Linked DNA regions of Caenorhabditis elegans. The protein of the gene in region 3 interacts with the protein of the main gene of each other region in a biochemical or structural test. Each region holds a gene or a part of one and is shown on either strand. Other genes may lie near its edges.

Region 1 (7,837 bases), on a different chromosome or scaffold from region 3:
GCCTGCCTGCCTGACCTTACGACCTCCATCCGTGCCTCATATTCAATTTTTTCATCTCTAAAATTGTTTTTCACCAAATTCATAAAAATGGGAAAATTTTAAATCTGTAAATTCTCAGGCAGGTTTCAGGCAGGCAGTGGAACCGCGCCTGCCTACCATGGAAGTCCTAGTTCCCGTAATATGGTCGATTTTCGAAGAAAAAAAATCCGGCACTTCCGCTGACTCACGTAGTGCCAGGCTGCTGTCCCATCACGGGTTGATCTACAAAAAATGCGGGAATTTTTTTGGCCCAAAAATACGTGACGTCAGCACGTTCTTAACCATGCGCGAAATCAGTTGAAAAGTCTGCGCGTCTCAATCAACTCCCGCATTTTTTGTAGATCAACGTAGATCAAGCCGAAACGGGACACACTCTGACCACATTTCCGCTGACTAATTGTGATCTACTTCTTATCATCCCGCCAACCTCCCCCGCCACACCCCAGTTTTTTCAGACATTCCCCACTATCGGTTTGAATTTTCTTCCTCTCACCTCCCTCGCCACTCTCTCTCTCTCTTTCACACAAGATGAATCATCATTGGCATTCAATTTGCAAATCGATGTCTCCGCTCTCTGTGTTCTCTGTGTTCTCTGTGTCTCTCCCCACTCTCTCTCTCTCCCATCATCATCATCATCACTGTACCATTCTCTATGTCAGTGTCGTTGTGTGTGTGTGAGTGGTGTGAGTGGGGTGTCTCCAACCAACACATACAGTAGTGACTCACTACCAGTGATCTACCCAGTGGCCATAATTTTTGACGTCTATACGTTTTTTTTTTGCCGAAAAAATTGCTCCAAAAAAGCAATTTTTGTGGTTTTCCAAGCGAAAATCTGGAAATTTTCTGAAAAATTCCATTTTCACCGTTGAAAATTGCGATTTTCGTGATTTTCCACGTTTTTGAAGTTTTTCGGCCATTTTCAAGCTATTTTCCGTTGCTCGAATTCGGTTGAATTCCACCAAATGCACAAATTTGTTCAGAAATTTGGAAATTCGCCGGATTTTCATGGATATTCTGGAAAAATTCCATTTTTTAACGTTGAAAATTTGGAATTTTCGGTCAAAATACGACCAAATTCACAAATTTATTTGGAAATTTGAAATTTTTCTGCGAAATTCCATTTAAAAACGTCGAAAATTCCATTTTTCCATAGATTTTCGTGGCGAAAACTTAAATTTCCACCCTTTTCAAGCGATTTTTCCGTTGAAAAAGCGACCAAATTCACAAATTTGGCCGAATGAATTTCACGGAAAATTTTGAAATACCTCCTTAAAGGCGCAGGGACTTATTCAGATGGGTCTCGCCGCGAGAACACAGTTTTTTTAAATTTTTGTGGCTTTTTCAATGAAATTACTTGATTTTTAGCGAATTTTGTCGTTTTCCTCTCATTTTTTTTGGTGATTAAGACAATTTTCACCAAAAAAATGGGAGAAAAACGACAAAATTCGCTAAAAATCAAGTAATTTCATTGAAAAAGCCACAAAAATTAAAAAAAACTGTGTTCTCGCGGCGAGACCCATCTGAATTAGTCCCTGCGCCTTTAAGGAGGCATGTGTCGAATACTCATGAAATTGCTCATTTTCAAGCGATTTTTCCCGATAAAAGCCCATTTTTCTCGCATTTTCTCCTGTTTTTTCTCTTTTAAATATTTGTTAATCTCAATTTTCCAATCTAATTTTTTCTAATTTTCCCTTTTTTTTGCAGGGCTCTACGGGTGTTCCCTCTCGCGTTCCTCACTCACACACACACATAGAGATAGATGGCTGCGATTAGAAAGAAGGTGAGCAGCAGCTCCTCTCATTCTGATGCTCCGCGGCTCATTAAATTGTGCTCAATTGGAGAGAAAATTGGAGAAAAAACGACGAAAGTCGATAAATTCTCCTTGAAATTACAGAAATTTCAGTTTTTTCAGCAATTTTTCGCGAAAATCGATGTTTCTCGGCGATTTTGGGGCTCTGAAGCCATTTTCATTGAAATTTAGTGAAAAAAATATGTGTTTTATCTAAAATAACTGAAAAATGGCTCAAAAATTGTCGAAATAATAGTTTTTGACAATTTTTGAGCTCTTTTTCAGTTTTTTTCAGATAAAATACATATTTTTTCACTAAATTTCAATGAAAATGGCTCCAGAGCCCAAAATCACACGAAAATATCGATTTTCACGAAAAAAAACTGAATTTTTTGTCATTTCCCTTGATTTTGAGGCGAATTTATCGATTTTTGTCGTTTTTTTCCCGAAAAAATCGAAATTTTCTCGGAAATTCCACTTTAAAATTGACTATTTTTTTGTTTTGCAGTTGGTGATCGTCGGCGACGGAGCCTGCGGTAAAACTTGCCTGCTCATCGTTTTCTCAAAGGATCAGTTCCCAGACGTGTATGTGCCGACTGTTTTCGAGAATTATGTTGCCGACATTGAAGTTGACGGAAAGCAGGTGCGGATTGGATGAAGAAATTGTGAAAAAATGCGATTTTTGAGCCGAAAATCGAGTTTTTCGTTCGGAAATTGACCAAAATGAAGGAATTTGTGATTTTTGAGCTGAAAATCGTGAAAAATTGCGATTTTTGAGCTAAACACGTTGTTTTTTCGACAAATTTTGACTAAAAGGAGCAAATTTGTGCTTTTCAGCCGGGTTTGAGCTTATCATTGAAAAAATTGGCTCGAAACAGTGAAAAATCGCGTTTTTTGAGCTAAAAGTCATGTTTTTCCGATAAATTTTGACTAGAAGGAGCAAATCTGTGATTTTGAGCTGAAAATAGTGAAAAATTGCGATTTTTGAGGAAAAAAAATCGTATTTTTGAGTCGAAAATTGCCTTATATTTTTTTAAGCTGAAAATCGTGTTTTTCAGCTATTTTTTTGCTGAAAATTCCCTATTTCTCAAAGTTTTCGTGAAAATTCCCCGTTTTTTTTACCAAAAATTTAAGAAAAATTGGCAAAAATGACTGTTTTTCGCCTATAAATTGACTGAAATGCACACACAAATTTACGATTTTAAGCAAAATTTTGAGGAATTTTGAGAGATTTTTCAGAAAAACTTGTGTGTTATTTTTCGAGAAAAACAGTATTTTCTGCCATTTTTTTACCTAAAAATCCAGGTTTTTAGCTAGAAATTCAAAATTTTCCAAAAAATGCCAATTTTTTGCTGAAAATCCGAGTTTTCGCCCCCCGAAAATTCGAATTTTTTATCCAACAATCCAAATTTTAAACCTAAAACTCCTGGTTTTACACCAGAAAATTCGAATTTTCTCATCTGAAAATCCAGGGTTTTTCACAAGAAAATTCGAATTTTTTACCCGAAAATCTAAGTTTTTCCTCTAAAAATCCAATTTTTTAACCTAAAAAATTCAAATTTTTGCTGAAAATCCAAGTTTGCTAGCTGCAAATCCAGGTTTTTCCCTTTTCAAATTTTACCAGGAAATCTAAGTTTTTCGGCTGAAAATCCGAGTTTTTAGCCACAAAATATATAAATTTTTCCAAAAAAAAAACCAATTTTTACTTATAAATCCAAGGTTTTTAGCTAGAAATTGCCATTTTTCATATTTTAAAATCCAAAATTTTCACCCGAAAATCCAGATTTTTACTCTAAAAAATCCAATGGTTTTTACCTAAAAAAAATTCAAAATTTTCCGAAAAGTGCAATTTTTTTGCTGAAAATCCGAGTTTTTACCTCAAAACTCCAAATTTTTAACCTAAAAAATGCACATATTTTTCCTCTAAAAATACAATTTTTACCGAAAAATCCAGGATCTCTAGCTGACAATTCAATTTTTCATTAAAAATCAAAGTTTTCCCCAAAAAAACCATTTTTTTAGCTGAAAATTACAATTTCTTACCTAAAATTCCAAATTTTCCTCATAAAGATTTTACTTATCTAAAAATTCAAATTTCTAGAAAAAAATCCGAGTTTTCTTCTCTAAAATCCGTTGTGTTTTTAACCTTAAAAATTCAAATTTTTCCAAAAATAGCGATTTTTGCTGAAAATCAAAAATTTTCCCTAAAAATATCAATTTTTACCTGAAAATTCAAATTTTTCACCTAAAATTCCAAGTTTTCTAGCTGAAAATTCAAATTTTTCTAAAAAAAATAGCAATTTTTGCTGAAAATTTAAGTTTTTTACCCGAAAATCCAAGTTTTTAACCTAAAAATTCCAAATTTTCCCTAAAAATATCAATTTTTACCTGAAAATTCCAAGTTTTTAACCTAAAATCCAATCCAAAATTTTAGCCTAAAAAATTCATATTTTTCCTTTAAAAATACCACCATATTTACCTAAAAATCCAGGTTCTCTAGCTGAAAATTCAAATTTTTCTAAAAAAAATAGCAATTTTTGCTGAAAATCCGAGTTTTTCGCCCGAAAATTCAATTTTTCATCCAAATATCCAAATTTTAAACCTTATAAATTCAAATTTTTCCAAAAATAGCGATTTTTGCTGAAAATCCAGATTTCTTCCTCTAAAAATTGAAATTTTTAACCTAAAAAATGCATATTTTCCTCTAAAAATACAATTTTTACCTAAAAATCTCGGGTTTTCCCTAAAAATTCAAATTTTTTCACTTAAAAATCCGAAATTTTCTGCAGGTCGAACTTGCTCTATGGGATACAGCTGGACAAGAGGACTATGATCGTCTGCGTCCACTCTCTTATCCGGATACTGACGTCATTCTGATGTGCTTCTCAATTGATTCACCCGATTCACTGGAGAATATTCCAGAAAAATGGACACCAGAAGTCAGGCATTTCTGTCCAAATGTTCCGATTATTTTGGTCGGAAATAAACGAGATCTTCGTAGTGATCCACAGACTGTTCGAGAATTGGCAAAAATGAAACAGGAGCCCGTGAAGCCTGAGCAGGGACGAGCAATTGCTGAGCAAATTGGAGCATTTGCATATTTGGAGTGCTCTGCGAAGACTAAGGACGGAATTCGTGAGGTACAACAAGCAGCAGTAGCACCGAATTGAGAGATGGAAATTATTTTGGAAATTGAGCGAAATTTTTGGAAATTTCAGCCGAGAAAACCCAAAAAATTTTGAATTTTTATGAAAAAAAGGGTTTTCAGAAAATTCGAGCTCAGAATTCCAATTTTTCTGCAAAAAATGATGACTTGCGAAGAAAAATTGGAAATTGTGCGAAATTTCCAGAAATTTCAGCCAAGAAAACCCAGAAAATTGCAATTTTTATGACATTCTAATGATTCGAGCTCAAAATTCGTGATTTTTGCGAAAATTTATATTTTTGACGATTTTGGCCTCTAAAAAGCTGTAAAAACTGCAAAAAATCCGAATTTCAATATTTTATGGGAAAATTGGGTGGAATTTTCGGAAATTTCAGCCTCGAAAACCCAGAAAATTGCAATTTTTATGAAAAAAAAAATGGATTTTCAGTGATTTTCTGAAGATCCGAGCTCAAAATTCCAAATTCGACGATTTTGGGATATAAAAAGCTGCAAAAATCCAAAGTTTTCGTGAAAAATTTTCCGAAAAGTTGCAAATTTGTGGAAATTTTCCAGATTTTTTGAAAAAAAATTTTTCAATTTATGTGAAAAAATGAATTTCTTATGATTTTTTAAAGATCCGAGCTGAAAATCGACGATTTTGTGCTCTAAAAACTGAAAAATCTGAAATTTCAATTTTTCATGGAAAATTATGGAAAAATGATTGGAATTTCCGGAAATTTCAGCCGAGAAAACCCAAAAAATTTTGAATTTTTATGAAAAATTCCAGATTTTGGCGAAAATCGATATTTTTCGACAATTTTGGGCTCTAAAAGGCCGTATAAATTTAAAAAAAAACTGATATTTCAATCTTTTTCTTGTAAAACTTCACCTGGAAGATATTTTCGATATTTTTCGACAATTTTCCGACAGTTTCAGCTGAATTTTCTAAATTTTTTGGAAATTTGGCCTAAATTCAGTCAAAAATCCGATTTTCGCTTCGAGACCCAAAAACATTGATTTTTTTAAATGAAAACTTAAAATATGTCCAAAAATTTCGATTTTCCAAAAGTTTAAATTACAAAAAATTCAATTTTTTTGGAGAAAATCACTTTAAAAAAATATTCGAAAAATTGGAAAAATTACAGATAAAAATTCAATTTTTGCGGAAAAAAAAATCGTTCTATTTTGAACAGAAATTTTCGAATTTCCCACAATTTTTTCCAATAAAATTTAAAAAATGGCTCAAAATTGAGCTAAAAGTCTCAATTTTCAACAAAAGTTCATCTAATTTTCCCCCAAATTTCCAATTTTTTCCAAGAAAATCGAAAAAAAGTTATTTTTCTGATTTTCTTTTAAAAAAAAAATTCAGCTAAAATTCTCACTTTTCCATTGAAATTTCCCCGAATTTCCAATTTTTCAGAAAAAAATTTGGAAAAAAGTCTTTTTTTTTTTAATTTTAATAAATTTCAGTTCAAATTTGAGGTTTTTAGCTCAATTTTGAGCCATTTTTCTGATTTTCATTGAAAAAAAAATAATTTAGCTGAAATTCACCAGTTTTCCCCCAAATGTTCAATTTTTTCAAATAAATTTTTAAAAAAAATTTACAATTTACAATTTTTTCCTGATTTTTTTCCAGAAAAAAGTGAAAAATTGCTCTAAAAGTCTCAATTTTCAGCTAAAATCCGAAAAAAAATCGATTTTTTTTTCACTAATTTTTTCCAATTTCAGGTATTCGAGAAGGCGACACAGGCGGCATTGCAACAGAAGAAGAAAAAGAAGAGCAAGTGCATGATTTTGTAAATCAATCGATAAAATGTCTGCTCTTCTTCTCTCTAATTCTCTCGTTTTTTCTCTCCCTCTTCAAAAATTGATTTTTCATCATTTTCCCCCCATTTCCCCCATACAAAATTTGAAATTCGCGCTTCTCTATTCCAATTTTTTGAGGTGGTGGCCGTGGCCTTGAAACTTGAAAAAGTTAGGCCACCGCTCTCTCTCTCTTTCTCTCTGAAATTCCAAATCACACATCTCCTCTCCCGCCCACACACACACACACATTTTATAGCTTAATCCCCGAATTCCCCGAATTAAAAAAAAAATTTCCGTTTTTTTTTTTGATTTTCACAATGTCAAACTGTGTTATTCCTCCGTTACCCCTCCGACGCGCTTACACACTTTTTTCTTTAAAAAATAATTTTTTCTCTGCCAAAATCACTAATTTTTCATTTTTATTGAAAAAACCTCCATCGCCCCATCGCTACTTTCCTATCTTAGCTTCAATGTAACAGGTTTCTATTTTTTTTTCGTCGAATTTTTTTTCCTAGCGAGCTTTAGCCAAGGATGCCGTTTTTCGACGATTTTGTAGAAAATTTTTTCAAAAAAATTGGACAATTGGCCAAAATTGAGCTATTTTTTGAGAAAATCCGGAAAAAATCGGAAATTTTCCGTTTTCTCCTGAAAAATCGGAAATTTCCCTTTTTTTTTACGAAAAAATCGATTTTTAGCTATTTTTCGAGAAAATCTGAAAAAACAAAAAAATTCCGTTTTCTCCTAAAAAATCGGAAATTTCCCGTTTTTTTAAATGAAAAAATTGAAAAAAAAAAATCGATTTTCACCACATTTTGAGATATTTTTACTGAAAAATCGGAAAAAAATCGAAAAATTTTCGATTTTTAATGAAAAATCGGAAAAAATCGAAAATTTTTCGATTTTAAGGACTCTTGGCTCCAGAGCTTGCTCCAGAAAAAAATTATCGATTTTTCTCGATTAATTTAAGAAATGCGTGCGATATTTGTAACATTTTCCTCTCTCTTTCTCTATTTCTCTTCGTCTCTCCCTCTCTCCAGCAGCAGCAGAAGCTCCCCCCC
Region 2 (4,158 bases), 310 kb from region 3:
GCATTTAAAGCAGACGAAAAATGTTTGAACATGTTCGAATTTCTAGTTTTCTGCGAATACCTAACGAGACCCAACAGTTTGTCCGTAAAGCGCGATTGCAAACGCGCTTTCAAAATGAGCATTTTTCTGCGCTTCCATAATAAAAATTAGAATAAAATTGAGCAACCCATATTAATTGTTTTATTTTCAGTCTGATTGTCTACTTGCTGGTCTTCGTTTCACAACAAAACATTATAATGATTCAAGTACTCCAAAATCTCTTCGTCATTTGATTGAAGTGAAATAATTTCATTTTTTGTCAATTTGTTCATTAATTCTAGTCATCCTTGCCTCTATTTTATGTTCTCTTATCGTTTCTAGTTGAAGCCCATTTCCTCATACACGGTGATTATGTTCCTCTCCTCGTCAAACAGTACTTTTTGTCAGTGATAATAATTATTTTTCGTTCCAATTCACCCACTCATTAATTATTTTTCTCAATGCCTTATGGTTCCGGTTCTTCTTTTTCTACAACACCCACTTGTATACTTTTCAAGATCTTTTATAAACATCTTAATTTTTTATATCACACCTTTATTGTTTTGGATCGCAAATATATAACAACAATATGTAGAAAAATTAAAATACAGAGTTGTTCTGGAGAAAGGAGGAGGGAGACACAAAACGTAGTGGATGAGAAAACAGTTTAAAATGGGAAATGGATGTGTGAAGGCAGAAAAGCACAAAAAAAAGGAAAGAAGAAAAACAAACTGGTCGGTATTTTTGAGCAGCAAATGAAGAAACAAGCGACTCGGGATGTAGTTGGTTGTGCTATACAACACCTATTATATAATTATAAAAAGAACCATGGGAAAGGAGAAGGCGCATTACGTAACGGTGTATCCGGACTATAAACACGTTTTGGGATAAAAAAGAAAATAAAAACGACGACGAAAATGTTAAAGAGGAGGTGTCATTGAAAAGAATGATAGTTAATTTGGATGAACTTTTAAAAATTTTCGAGGGGATTATTCGATAAAAATTCGAAAACAGATGAGAAACTATAAACTGCCCTGCTTATCGAAATTCTATACGAAACAATTAAAAAATTCTGGAATCATGCTCATCGAGATTCTACTGGATAAGTTACAGGAGACGAATTGAAGAAAATCATCTTCTATGATGCTGTCAAAAATAACAGCAACCGCTTCTCGTTTGGCATTTTTCAGGGAAATTTAGAAGTATGAGAAGAGTGGAAGTCGGGGGCTAAGAAAATTTGGACATAGAAAGAAAAACACAGTCACAAAACAGAGGAAAACATGGAGACAAGGAAGACGTTCCTAGAGAATATTGCACTTCTTCTTCTTCTCCTGTTGTGGTGGGTCGAGAGCGGCCAGAATGGCTTCGTCGAATACATTTTTCAGTCCCTTCTGAAAATAAACTATTTAAACTTCAATATACAAGCGTTTTTAATCAACATAATATGAAAACTATGGTATTTTCAGCCGGAATATAGAGCATTTCAGGAGATAATTTTTTGCACAATAAAAACAGAATTCTGGTTGTTCGTTTTTCCCGAAAACATGACCGTTGCTAAATATAAAGCAACAATTTAACTGAAAAGTGATATTTATATTTTAAAGTGTCACGTATTTCCACAAGAGCCTCGTTTTAATATTTAAAAATTTATTATTTGATTAGGTTTCGTGGATTGGATGATATTTTATTTTAATGTTTCAATATTATCAATGACTATTTTGGAAAGAATGACTCACCTGCGTCAACGCTGAGCATTCAACGTATTTCACTGCTTTCAATTCCTTTGCCAACTTCTCTCCAACATCCGTTGACACTGGTTTCTGCTTGTTTTTTGCCAGTTTCTCGAGCATTCCTGGATCATCCCTGAGATCGACTTGAGTACCAACTAACAAGAATGGGGTCTTTGAGCAATGATGCGAAATTTCAGGCACCCACTAAAACAATTTCAGATATATAGAATAAATTCGAGAACAATATTTCTTACTTTTTCTCGGACATTCTCGAATGAAGCTGGAGCAACCACGGAGAAGCAAACAAGAAACACGTCGGTCTGTGGATACGATAGAGGCCTTAATCGATCGTAATCTTCCTGTCCAGCAGTATCAAACAATCCTAATGTGTATGGCTCGCCACCGATCATTACTGTGACCTGAAATTCGGAAATTATTTTTATATAAAATAATTTTTTTTTCTTAAACTTACGGCGTAATTGTCGAAGACTGTCGGCACATACTCAGAAGGAAACTTGTTTGTGGTATAGCTGATCAGGAGACAAGTTTTACCGACAGCTCCATCTCCAACGACGACGCACTTGATCGTCTGCATTTCGCCTGAAAAAAAAAATGAATAAAAGTATTAAAATTACGTCTTTATAGTGAAAAATACGGATGAGTCACATAAATGTGCACGCACACGTTTTAAAAGGAGAGATAACTAGAGAATGAAAACGAATTGCGAAACATCAGGCAGAAAATCAATAGTCTCTTTCGAAATGCCACGAGCGTTTCTTTACCATTGGGAGCAATAATTATCGAAGAAAGAGCAAGAAAAAAAAACGGTAAACGCCTTAATAAACGATGAAGAAATAAGGCAAAATGGCCAAAACAACTTGTGCGTATAATTCTTTAGATGAGGAATTTTGGCAATGATTCATCGGTAACTGGTCGGAAGTTTGAATCGGTTTTCCGTACCAAACAACTTGCATATATTTGAAACTAGTTATATTTAAGAAAAGGTACAAAAATAGGAATAATTCGACATGAAACACTGGAACATCTCAGTCAGGATTATGTTAGGGGAATTTGGAAGCAATGTTCAATAAAATGTCACGAAAATGATTTCAATAATTGTTAAACAGTCAGACAAACTTAAGCGGACCATTTTTTAAATAATTTAAAACATGATTGCTCCTTTCGAGAAAATTTATCAAATTAAAAACTGATAGGATACTTCGATCGTCTACCTACGTTTATTGATTAATTCTGCTCTTATAAATGAATAATCAATAATTAGAAAAAACAATAAAAGCCTGTAAAACAACGAAAAGCGTGAATGAGCTTTGTTGAACACGGCGAAAAAAGGAAAAAAAGAAGATGGTGGACAGTTTGTCGGCGAGCCTAAAGACGACCGCGACGCGGCCGCTCGCACTCATAGACTACGCTAGTGGTGAGATACGCAGAGAAAAAGACGAGAGAGTATTGAGAGAATGGAGACATCACTACATCTAACATAGGGTCGCCAGTCGTCACCGAATTATTGGATTCAAATTTAGGTCCCGTAACTCGTGAAAACTTATTAGATCGGTCAGTTATCTAGATAGAGTACTTGATTAGACAAATGATATCCCAGACTGGTCAGTTTCAGTCTAGAAATGACGCTGTAAACTTCGTAAAACCACCAAATAGGATTTCTAAAGTCATCATCTAGAATTTAAACTATATCTCACTTTGTTACGCTGTGAGGATATTATACATACATATTTTGTATGTAAGCTTAGTCTATAACTAGCGTAACCCGTTCCATGCTAACAGACGGGCGGCCATTTTAGTTTTTTATTTTTCCTGTGCGAACGATTGCCAGCCAGAAACTTCTTTCTTTTTTCTTGTTTCTCCTAGTGCAGAATATTTGTCCTCAATTTATAAATACCATCTCTAGAATATTAACTTCGATTGAATCCGTTGTGTTTTCCATTTTTTCTCAATTGTATTTCGTAAAATTAATTTTAAAATTGCCTTCTTTTTAATTTTAAGGTTTTATATTTCAATATGCTATTTCGTATTTTTTGTCTTACATTTCTAGATAGAATTCTAACAATGCTCCGATTGAATCTCACTCGCGAAATTTCTATTTCTCTTCTTTCACTTCAATCCAATCGACGATTCAATCTGCCCTAAATTTTTAGAATTGCATATTTTCTCTTGATAACTTCATTGTAAACCGTGTGAATTCCATGAAATTACATGTTCGTAATACTTTTCCCAATTAAAAGAAGAAAAATTTGGAGTTTCGATAACCGACGGCGCGTACTTCTCTTCTTCCTTATTGTTCGATCAATAGTCCCCCAATCCGGTTCCCTGCCGCGTCTCCTCCCTTTTCCGCGCGAGATGTGCCTGCTTTTCGTTCATGAATTTCGTTTACAAC
Region 3 (4,705 bases):
GACCACTCTGCCGTAGATATGAATCAGTGGAATTCTAAAAATGAATCAGAATATTGCAGTTTTATAGAAAATAGTAAACATTCTTTTTTTTTAAATGTTTTAGTTTAAACTGTCATTGAATAAATAGGTTACTGTATTCAAGGCAGCAAAACTTAAATTCAAAAAAGTAACTTTTACCACAATTTAAAACAACTGTGAACAGTTTTCACTAGGAACATTTTTCAGAAATCTTGCTATCAAAAATGTTAAATTTGAAAGTTTATTAGTTAACATTACCGGATTATTTTCGTATTTTGCTTTTATAAAACGTTTCATTCTAATAGAAAAATATTATAATAATTGTGTTTTACAATTTTCGAAATAAATTTGAACAGATCACAAGGAACATAAGATAAAAAAATTTGCATAATTTTTGGAAAATTTGAGGAGAATATTGTCATCTGACTCATGGTTTTGGTTTGCTATTTTGACATCGCTGACTTGGGATTTAAAGAACTTCAAATACGATTTAGAAAATCTGAAACTCATTTTCCTCATACATAAATAGATGTTCAAATGTTTCACTTTTTCAGCAGGAAATTTTGTTTTATACTATTCAAAATCTTATTAATCAAATATGTTTCAACTTACTCTCCCATAGGACCTATTTCTGGGAGACCGCATTAAACAAATAATTTAGTAAATGAACTGAAAAAGAAGAACTATGAATAAAGGTTGGGAGTGAATTGAAGAACGAAAAGTTGAAGAAAAGGGAAAATAGAAAACCATGGATTGACACATACAAAAACAAAATACGTATGTGTATGTAAACGAAACAGGAGAGCAACCGCTACCAAAAAACAACGTTTCTCGAAATTTTTGGAATATCAATTTTAAGATTTTTTTGTAGATCAGAATGCAGCTTACATTTTGTTTCCAGCGACCTAACGTTGAACTTCTACTCGGCGTATGATGAACCGATGAAACAATATGACGGTTTCTGAAAATGAATAATGAATAATTTTGAATTTAATTTCAATAACACTAAACGCTCTTTTCAGATTTTTAAAAAACCCTGCGTAGTTTTCTACTTAGAAAGAATCTAAATTCGTTGGAAACAACGTTTTTTGTTAAATCTTGAATAATCTAACATTTTAGTTATAACCAGAAAAGTGAAATGCCAATATTTATTGGCATTTCCATCTGTGTGAGAAAGTTTTAAACAATTAAATATTTCAAAAAGGTACAGAAAAGGCGCGACTAGACACACTTTTTTACTGGATGCGTGATTTGGTATATGAGCGTAGACCGTTAATCTAGTAGCGTCTCGTCGGAGCAGCGTTTGCAGAGAAAATATTTTGAACATTTGAAACAGCATCATTCAATTGAAACGATGTGAATGATCAATATTCCCATGCAAAAATAAATCGAATGAATAAATGGCTTGTTTAACTTTTGAATTGTTTCAGTTTACAGAAAGGATAAGCTCAATCAATTTTTCCGAAAAATATAAAACTTGAATTGATTTTTTTAAACAATCTTTTGATGCAAGAAAAAATATAATTCCGAACTACCAGGTTAAAAACAATTTCTCAAGGCTACTGCCAATTAAAAAAACAAGCTATTTAAATTTTCTAATTAATACAATGTTTTAGAGAATTTTCGAGAGTTTTTGAATTACCTTATCCAATTCCTTCCTCGTTCAAAATCCATATTTCACCTAAACACGCATTCCTCCTACCGGTAGAGGGAAAAACGTCTAACTCTCAAAAATCAAACCGAAACAAATCATTGAGAGAGGAAGATCGAAAGAAAAAAGAACGAGGTGAGAAATGTGGGTGTGTGGGAATGAAGGTGACGGGAACTCACAGAATGATGTTTAAAACAGCTGATTCCAGCTGATCGATAATGTTCAGAACCGGAGTCGTATCCACAGAGCACGTATCAAATTTCAAGTCTGGAATGAACAATTTTTCAGACTTCTCTTGACAGGTTCAGAGAAGACTGGTGTCAGTGTACGGAACAGCATTACAAATTGATTATACTGATTGAATGAAACTTTGAGATTAATTTTTTTGAAATCGTTGTAGGTTTTATGACTGATAAAATTCTACGCCAATAAAGTCAAATCGTTACAATTTTTACAAAATTATGTAAAAGCTCAAACTCCTAATAAACAATTACATAACATGTATCTAGAATTAAACCTAATAATAGTAATTCTGAAACTGAAATATATTGGAATATCAGAGGAACTATCAAATGATGCCGGAAATAAAATGAACATTGGCCTAATGAAATACGTTTAGTATTCCTGTGATGATGCACATAAAACAACTTTTTTTTGTCTTTTTCCACGAAAAGAGAGAGTAAAATTAAATGAGAAATGTGTGCAGAAGAGCAACAGAAGAGAAGAAGATGAGAGAATATGCTCTCACTTACACATACCTTTGACGGCTTGCACAAGTTGAAGAGACAGCAAAATGATGGGATTTGTTTTGAATTGAGAGTATTTAAACAAGTCCCGCATGGATTCTGACACCATTTCCAATGATGCATGCACATTTACACACATTGATTCACCGTCTGCAAAATTTGTAATTTCAGATGAGGAAGTTGAGTATTACATAACGTTAATTTAAAAAAAAAACATGTAAGCTCTGGAAGTTACAGTTCGATCGTAGGAAACTTCAAGGATCAGATAAAACATTTAGTGCTCCAAAATAACTGTTAGTACATTATTAAATAGGCTTTTCGATTTTCAAGGCTTTGCTGAAAAATAGTTTCAAATTTTAAACCATTCACCGAAACATTACATTTAAAAATCTAGTTGTATTTTCTTAACCTTGCGCGTTTTCCTGAATTTCCGCTACACTCTATAAATAATTTTTAAAAAAATTTAATTTTCAGACATACCAACAACCGAAGAATTGAGATCCAAAGTTGACCGAAGTCGATTTATAAAAACTGAAAATCGATCAATATCTCTACGTATTGATGCCGGAATTCTGGTGTCAACAATGAAATCGGCATCATTTGAAGAGCATATACTGCTCGTCGACGACATTGCGTCGACTTGATTTCAGTCAACTTTCTGAGAGTTTGTCTGAAAATATTTGAGAATAAATTAAAGAAAGAGCTCATTGAAGCGGTTTCAATTACAAGAGTATTCCATGATCAACGAAGGAAAGGAAGACAACAAAAAACAATAATCATAAAAAGAGCTTCAAAGAAAATATTTCCGTTTTTAATTGTGAAAAAGTTGTGCGCGATAGAGATATGACATAATTTTTCAGACACTTCCAGAATACTTTTAGGAATGAGAACTAGAGAAAAACAAGAGCACATTCCAGGAAAATATATATCTATTTTCTATTCCTACTGAGCTAGTTTTCAAAAAAAGTCCAATAAAAATGCCTTCCTTTCTACTGGAACTATTCCTCTTTTTCACGTTTCACTGATCTCAAAAATTGATAACAGAGGTGGTTTGAAAGTTCATAAACCTTGAAAAGCAATGCTTCAAGATACATGGATTCACATTTTTGTCACGAAAAAAGAAAAAAGACAGATCTAATCAATTAGACTCCCGTTATACATTTTTTTTGGTGAAAACAACGAATTCCTTCTCTTTTTCGCGATTTTGATAGTAGAATATTTTAAAATCAACAATGTTTGAAAAAGGAATTCATCAAAAAGATTCGAATTTCTGAATTTAAAATTTTTAAAGGAGCAGATACTTGAAATGCGTGAGAAAACGCCTACTGGCAAGAACTGTGGTTTGATCAAAGGGTTCGGTTTATTGAAAATGAAAGAATCAGGAAATTTTCTTGATATTTTGAGAACACGGATCTTTTAGAGGAAAATAGGATATATGAAGTTATTTTTCCAAAAAAAAAAAAACAGAAACGGAATGTAAAATAGCAGTAGAAAATAAAAAATGAATGAATACAATTTTTGTCGTTACATTTTTTTTTTATCTACGATGATACAAATTTTCTACAGAAATCCAATTTTATAATTGAATTTATTCTCTTAACTGAATATCTTGTTCTCAAAATTTCAAAATGGGAAACCCCGGAAATTTCAGTTTCAATAATGAAAATAAATTCAAATAGAGAAAAAACATCTTTCAAAATATGGTGTGAAAACTTTTCCCAAAAAAATTCTCAAAAACTATCCTTTTCCTATCCGCATCATCATCATCATGTTCTGGAGCACAAGAGAGAAGGATGACGTCTGCGATTCTTCCTTTTTCTGCCCCACGCTTTCTTTTGTTGGTTCCACAGATTGGGTGAACGAAACGGAAATGCTCAAAAAGCACTCTAGAATGGAAAAAATAACTTTTTAAAATAAGGAACTTTGTTTTTGTTTTTGCTTTGTTTTTGAAACTGGACAACTTTTTTTCGGAAAATTCAGAAAAAAAGGAAAAATGTGTGCTTTTTTTTCAGAAAAATTTCAAGAGAACTCAATTTCAATTTCCGAACTTTATTGTCTTTGTTCTTCAGTTTTTGTGTCACAATTCGAAAAGAGAAATTATATTGTAGAGTATAATTTAGAACAAGAGCATTTTCTTGTTGCAGTTCCCATTATTTTTCCAGAAAAACAAACTATTACAGCGTAACTTAAACAAAAAGTGTTAATCTATACACAAAACATAGCTTCAAATAAACAAAAAAGAAACGGAAAACTATTTTGATCACTGCGAACATTTTTGAAAATATTTTGC

What was found.
Region 1: of the proteins of spv-1 (region 3) and rho-1, one has a biochemical effect on the other in vitro, tested with the Caenorhabditis elegans proteins (one study listed by BioGRID).
Region 2: of the proteins of spv-1 (region 3) and cdc-42, one has a biochemical effect on the other in vitro, tested with the Caenorhabditis elegans proteins (one study listed by BioGRID).

Annotation. Positions count from the first base shown.
Region 1 is NC_003282.8:16,482,928-16,490,764, reverse strand, and holds the start of rho-1 (Ras-like GTP-binding protein rhoA), read left to right. Parts: upstream 1-1,743; 5' UTR 1,744-1,798; coding exon 1,799-1,819; intron 1,820-2,336; coding exon 2,337-2,471; intron 2,472-4,617; coding exon 4,618-4,968; intron 4,969-6,701; coding exon 6,702-6,773; 3' UTR 6,774-7,837. UniProt on the Caenorhabditis elegans protein: Required for ventral migration of epidermal cells during ventral enclosure in the embryo and for cell elongation. Also required for ventral migration of P cells during larval development.
Region 2 is NC_003280.10:7,614,642-7,618,799, reverse strand, and holds cdc-42 (Cell division control protein 42 homolog), read right to left. Parts: upstream 2,349-4,158; 5' UTR 2,344-2,348; coding exon 2,221-2,343; intron 2,168-2,220; coding exon 2,003-2,167; intron 1,953-2,002; coding exon 1,755-1,952; intron 1,410-1,754; coding exon 1,320-1,409; 3' UTR 555-1,319; downstream 1-554. Other genes in the region: R07G3.8 (CYRIA/CYRIB Rac1 binding domain-containing protein), read left to right, coding at 191-286.
Region 3 is NC_003280.10:7,925,610-7,930,314, forward strand, and holds the start of spv-1 (Spermathecal Physiology Variant), read right to left. Parts: upstream 3,047-4,705; coding exon 2,896-3,046; intron 2,814-2,895; exon of another isoform or gene 2,736-2,813; intron 2,566-2,735; coding exon 2,428-2,565; intron 1,937-2,427; coding exon 1,849-1,936; intron 1,693-1,848; coding exon of another isoform or gene 1,661-1,692; intron 980-1,660; coding exon 907-979; intron 35-906; coding exon 1-34.